Cricetulus griseus: one gene and its partner. The protein of the gene in region 2 interacts with the protein of the main gene of each other region in a biochemical or structural test. Links are inferred from orthologs where the notes say so. Each region holds a gene or a part of one and is shown on either strand. Other genes may lie near its edges.

Region 1 (2,777 bases), on a different chromosome or scaffold from region 2:
TGGGCACTTTGGGATCTTAAGCAGAACTAGGTTTTGCTGACTTCTTGACCCCATTACTGTGTTCAGTTCCTCAAGTATCATGTGATACTCGTGACTAACGTTTTGTGAAGGGTCCTGTACTGTCAGTACCAGTTTTCAGTACATAGTGGATCACTTGATATATTTTGAACACCAGCAGGAGGCAACAACACAGTAATGAACCACTATAGGAGCTGACCCACACAAACAGCAGGTGGGAGAGGAACAAACAAGAAGCCCAAACAGGCAGTTTCCAAGTAATTTTATTCAGAATTTTGTGTTTGTTTCCTGAATCAATAAATACTATACAAAACAATGTAAAAATGGCTACCATTTTCTCTCCCCTGCTCCCCTCACCTGGGGACAATTCCCTGGACAACTTCATGCAGGGACTCTCCCTGTAGATTTGGTCCAGCAAATGAGGCCAGACATGTTTTAGCCCCTTGATTCACTTTTGGAGATTTGGCTGGGGTAGTAGGAAAGTCTTTAGAATCAGGTTAGGGGAATGGATTAGTGTTTTGGGGTTGGGGGAAGGAGACGGCGCCTGGGGCAGAACCTACCCCAAAGAAAAGGGTATCTATAATGTTCACGGTTCCTTCTTTTTGCCTCAAAAAGTGACATTTATTCAAAGAGAGAGAGAGAGAAAAACAAAACAAAAACAAAAACAAGATGTCCATCCCTTGGCTCCCTTCCCTCCCCCCTCCAGCTGTTCCTCAGCCCCCCAGGACTGAACCCTGGCTAGAGCCAGGTAACAGGACAGCCCCTCAAATGAGGTCAGCAACATTGAGGGGCATCTCTTCAATGGAGGTGTTGTAGAATGTCTCAATGTCTCGAAGAGTCCTCTTGTCTTCTTCTGTCACCATATTGATAGCCACACCTTTACGGCCAAAGCGACCACCACGACCAATTCTAAGGGCAAAAAGGGATAATAATGGAATGGGGAAAGAGGATGACATTTGGATTTCAGCGCTTGGGTATTTGGCACTGCAGACCCTTACTTACCTGTGGATGTAGTTTTCCCTGTTGGTGGGAAGGTCGTAATTGATGACTAAGGAGACCTGCTGCACATCAATGCCTCTGGCCTAGGTCAAGAAAGATCACAGAACTGTCAGAGGGTACAATCTGTCCAACTGATTTAGGAATACATGTAGGCAGCCAAGGCAGGGAAAGGCAACAAACAAGCATCTCTTGTTCCCCCAGAGACCTCAGGCATGCCAGGTTTTCTTCCAAGTTGCTACGTTCCTGAAAGGGGCACTAGTCAGCCCCTTGGAGAGGGAATCACCTTGGACTCAACTCCTCCCACCCCTCTTGCTTTTCCTGAAACAGGCCTCTACTCACCAACAGGTCAGTGGTAATTAATACTCTGCTAGAACCAGACCGGAACTCCCTCATGATCACATCTCGTTCCTTTTGGTCCATATCTCCATGCTAGAAAACAAGTAGCACAAGGCTTTTGGCATTCTATGCTTAAAACACAAGCACACACAGCTACTTAGAAGATCTGAGAAAACTTACCATGGCGGAAACAGTGAAATCCCGGGCATGCATCTTTTCAGTGAGCCAATCCACCTTCCTTCTGGTATTGATAAAGATTACTGCTTGGGTGATAGTCAGGGTTTCATACAAGTCACACAATGTGTCAAGCTTCCACTCCTGGAGATCCGGAAACATCAGTCAGGGGCTATACCCAACAACTTACTACCAGGTCCGCCTCCTGCACTAGGCCCCACCTCTCTTTCCACATTGATGTAGAATTGACGGATACCCTCCAGGGTCAACTCTTCTTTCTTGACAAGAATCCGAATGGGGTCTCTCATGAACTTCTTGGTCACCTCAAGGACATCTGAGGGCATTGTAGCAGACAACAAAACTACCTAGTTGGGGAGAGAAAAGTGGATGGCAATAAGGGTTGCTTGTCCTCCTCACATCACAACCAAGCCATGGGTTATCCTATGAAGACAGCAGCTTACCTGTGTGTTACTGTTGAGCTTTTGGAATATATCATATATCTGGTCCTTGAACCCACGGCTTAACATTTCATCTGCTTCATCCAGTACAAACATCTTGATGTATTTGGGGGCTAGGAAGACAGAAAAGATACCAACACATAATAAGAGAAATGTGAAACATTTAATTAAGTCCCTTAGTAAAGGGACAGGCAAGGAGCAGTCTGCTCTCAGAATATAAGGATTGATCCTTTGCCTAAGGCCTCCCTGCCAGGCCAGAAAATAGTCCTGGTAAGTAGAACACTACCTGGGCTAAGGCAACAGGGAAGCTGGGCTCAGATGACACGCATGGGGTTCATCACAGAGCAACTAACATCCTAGGAAAGTGCGACAACTGTAAAATGGCACTCACACAGGTATCTCCGGTTAAGCATATCAAACACCCGGCCAGGGGTGCCCACGATGATATGGGGAGCTTCCATCTGCAACTTCTGCACCTCAGCACGCACATTAGTGCCTCCAATACAGGCATGACAAGAGGCACCCATGTAGTCTCCTAATGCCATGACCACCTTTTGAATCTAAACAAAAGACAACTAAGTTAGCTTCGGCTATATACACCTGGAAGTTTGTTACTTTCCCCTTTAATCCATTTATCTAAAACTCTCCTTAAGACACCCCCCCACACACAAATGGCAGAATCCTTGTTTCTGAACACAGGCTAACAGTTAAGTTTTCCATCCTACACAAAACCCTCTAAAATACCAAGCCAGGCCACGCCAGCCCTTATGGCTTAGAACTAACTCACAGGCT
Region 2 (3,698 bases):
CGAATACGTCAGATTATGTAAGTAGGGTAAGCTAAGCCTGGGCAATGACTACAAGTCCCACCTCCATAGGAGAAATGGATCTAGAAGACCAGATAGGAGGTCTGGCTTCCAGCCCCCAGCCTCACCTGTCCAGGGATATAGTAGGCTCCTTGGGAGGCGGAATAGGAGATCTGGGAAGGGATCATCATTACTTGGGATCCAGCAGGGTAGACATGGGTAGCTGGGCCAGGACGGGCAGGGGCTGCACTCTGCACTCTGGAGGCTGCACTGCTCGGGGGCTGGGCCCGGCTAGGGTAGAAGTGCTATTAGGAAGGAGGAAAGCAGTTGGGGTCAAGAAGGGGAGGGAGTCAACACTAAAATCAGCATTCCATTCCACAATGTACATACAATCTCAGAGTACTGTAGGCTTCAGAGCATGGAGACCAATCCTTCCAAAACCCACATGAACTGATGGCTAAGTGGCCTCTTGGTCTAAAACTTGTCTGGAAACTTAGATGAATACTTTGTATCCTGTACTCTCTCACTGCCATGCATACTCTATCACCTCTAGATGATCCCTCTAGAGTCTTCCTAACACCAAGATGCATCATGCTTAAGTAAGGCCCTCGAGGGCAACATACTTCCCAGCATGCACTATTCCACCTCAAATACTGATTAACTGCTACATGCAACAATCTTCCAGTTTTGAGATACTTGCTCTCCAACAGTTAACCTCTAACATGCAGTATTTGGACTCAAACTGAAGACCTCAACATCAAACAAGGCCCCACCCTGAATATCCCATCTGTGTCTAGCTATGGACTAGGGTAGAGGATGGGGTAACACCAAGAGGTTGCTCAGGATTAGGAAAGGGGTATTACCTGCAGAGACCTGAATCCTCCCTGAGAGCACATGGGGACAGGAAAGACGACAATTATCCCCAAGGTGATGGAAGGGGTTTAGGGGGAGTGGAGTAGGTAGGAAAAGAATCCTTCCACTTGGGAAGAACTTGGAGAACAGAAAAAAATGAAAGCGCAGCTGGAAAGTTCATCTCATCACAGTTCAAAGAGAAAGCGAAGAGGAACAGGGCAATGGCAACCTCCTAGTCACAGGAAAGAGCGGGCAGCAAGACCCACAGCACTGTCCCCAATTGTCAAAGGCATGAAGACCCAGTAATGCCACTTTCATAGACTACAAACTTCACAAAGGGTGAGCCACCATAACTAACACAGCACGAAAGAATTCAGAGCAACTGTCAGGAAATTGGGGGCAAGTACACAGCCTCCACAGTTTCCATACTAGTCCCAAACCAGATTTTCCCAGTTCCCACCCAGCGACCTACTCTAACCACAGCCCCTCACCTGGCGGGGCTGAGAAGGCGTGTTCATTTGTGTCGCTTGTGGCGTGCTAAACACCACCGGTGCAGTCTGCCCCGGGGGAAACGCTGGCTGAAGGGGAGAGACCAGAGTTCAGCAAGAGGGGAAGCCTGGGTGGGGCCGAAACCCAAGCTGGTGAAATAGGGGGAGCAGACCTGCAGCAAAAGCCTCAGCAGTCCACATGTTCCCTCCCTGTGACAGCCCCAGGGACAGCCAGGGGCCCTATCTCAATTTGGCAGCAGGCAGCTGCACTTTGCCCTGACACAGATGGGGGTGGGAAAACTGAGAGCTGCATGACCTCCACCCCAACCAGAGTTCTGCTCATTTTGCCTCGATTACCTGTGGGAGTCCAGGGGACCTGGCGGGTGGGGGGCCTGTGGGCTGAGGAGCTTTGTTCATTTCATTTGGTGCCACATCAGGGTCCCCCCAGCACCTGTTGGAAAGAACAGAGCTCGGAACCGGGAAAGGACCCGAGCTTACGGCAAATGGGCTGGGGGAAAGGTATCAAGAGCTAAGAGTAACGTGGATCAAGGGAGGTGCCAAGGGAATGCAGAAACACAAGTGATCCAGACTGTGGATCCCACCAACACACCGCAATACCCCGACCCCACCCTTGCCTGCTCAAACAGCCCCCTCACTCACCCCCTCGGTTAAGAATAAGTCCACAGTGCGGCCTACAGGTTCTGGGCATCCGAAGGCCTGGGGTTGGGAGGTGAGGGGTATCAACCTGGCTCCACGGGGCCCAAGACCAACCAGACCGGAAATTCCAGGTCTCGCTGGCACCAGGCTCCCGGATCACAAATGAAGCCGGCTGCTTCGGCCGTGGTGTCCCCACCCCCCACCCGGGGACACCGGGTTCGGAGCCTGCCGCGGGGCACTCGCACGGGGCCGAAGAGGCCTGAGACCGCCCGGGAACACGAGCCAGGAAGGGCACGAGCCCGGCCCTACCAGCAGGGCTGGCGGCGACGGCCGCCTTGCCGCTCGGGGCAGACGAGGGTCGGCCGCCGGGCGGGGCTGGGGGCTCCTCCCTGCCCGCCGCCGCCTCCTTGCCCTGCGCAACGCGGCCAGTGCCAAAGAACAACGTGTCACTTCCCGGCGGCCGCCCGGGCCCCGCAGGGGGAGGGGGCGGCGGGTCTGCGCCGCGTAGCCTGCGCCGGGCCACGTCCCCGGCCCAGCGAAGGTGGCTGTCGCGCCGCCGCCCCAGCGCCCTCCCCTCCCGGGTCGGCCGGGCCCTGCTCCCCACCCCCACCCGGGCCCGGCCCGGCACACGTGGGCCGGGGATCGGCCTGGCGAGTAGGGCCTGGGCGCGGGCGCGGGCCGGGGCGCCGGGGCGGCGGCGCAGGGTGGCGGCCCCGGCCCGGATGGCGGCGGATGCGGGGGGAGGGGTGGGGCCGGGTCGGGCCCGGACATGGCGGCTTTACCTTCAGTCTCCTTCAGTCCGCGCGGCCGAGCCCCACGCAGCCGCACAGACGTAGTCCACAACCATTTCCGGCTCCCCGCACAGATCCCGCTCGGCGGCCACCGCTTCTCCGCAGGCGCAGCCGGCGCCCCACGTGACCGGCGCAGAAGGCGGAGCCGCGTTGGCGCTGGGGAAGCACATGGGATTTGCTCCGCCCTGTCACGTGACGCGCACTGCCCGCCCTCGTGTCCCCTCCCGAACTTTGGAACTCCCAGGCCGACCCCCTCTGAGGCTCTGGCGGTTCTTTAGTTCATTCATACTTTGCGCATTTATTGAGCGCGTGAGTGCTAAGTGCCGCCCGGGAGCTGAGAGTGCTGAATTTAAATGCAGTCCTGTCCTTGTAAATGGTACACTACAAATTATGTAGCCTCTGAAAATGCTGTAGATTTGATCTTTGATAGTCCTATTAACAAGAAAATGAATGCTGCACCAAAAGAAGTGATGCATTCTAACTGAAGGCGCAATTTTACATTCACTGTTTACAATAAACCAGTTGCTGCTCGGGAAAGGCAAAAATCAATCACGAAAACTTTAGGAAGAAACAATTCTAAAAGTCGAGTGTACAGGTGCATGCATGTCTGTGATCCCCAGAATTCTGAAGGCTAAGGCAGGGAGATTGGCATGATGGTTCACTGGTTAAAGGACTGGCAGCTCTTCAAAAAGACCTGGGTTCAATTCCACTACCACTACAGTAGCTCACAATTGTCTGTAACACTAATTCTATATGCTCATCATGCTATCTTTTGGCCTCTTTGGCACCAGGTTTGCATGTGGTACAGACATACATGTAAGCAAAGCATTCATACAAATGACTAAAAATAAAATTTAAAAAATAGGAACAAATTTTAAAAATTTGAAACCAGCCTAGCTCAAGTTTGAGCTTT

The links.
Region 1: the proteins of Eif4g1 (region 2) and Eif4a1 form a complex in vitro, tested with the Homo sapiens proteins (3 studies listed by IntAct, with this or other methods). The link is inferred for Cricetulus griseus from reciprocal best matches to the Homo sapiens genes EIF4G1 and EIF4A1.

What each region holds. Positions count from the first base shown.
Region 1 is NC_048600.1:83,511,543-83,514,319, forward strand, and holds the end of Eif4a1 (eukaryotic initiation factor 4A-I), read right to left. Parts: intron 2,546-2,777; coding exon 2,377-2,545; intron 2,332-2,376; exon of another isoform or gene 2,191-2,331; intron 2,099-2,190; coding exon 1,989-2,098; intron 1,893-1,988; coding exon 1,749-1,892; intron 1,672-1,748; coding exon 1,534-1,671; intron 1,447-1,533; coding exon 1,357-1,446; intron 1,308-1,356; exon of another isoform or gene 1,162-1,307; intron 1,101-1,161; coding exon 1,021-1,100; intron 928-1,020; coding exon 783-927; 3' UTR 615-782; downstream 1-614. UniProt on the Homo sapiens protein: ATP-dependent RNA helicase which is a subunit of the eIF4F complex involved in cap recognition and is required for mRNA binding to ribosome.
Region 2 is NC_048597.1:67,977,044-67,980,741, forward strand, and holds the start of Eif4g1 (eukaryotic translation initiation factor 4 gamma 1), read right to left. Parts: upstream 2,930-3,698; 5' UTR 2,777-2,929; intron 2,055-2,776; 5' UTR 1,998-2,054; intron 1,789-1,997; 5' UTR 1,755-1,788; coding exon 1,695-1,754; intron 1,428-1,694; coding exon 1,341-1,427; intron 303-1,340; coding exon 126-302; intron 1-125.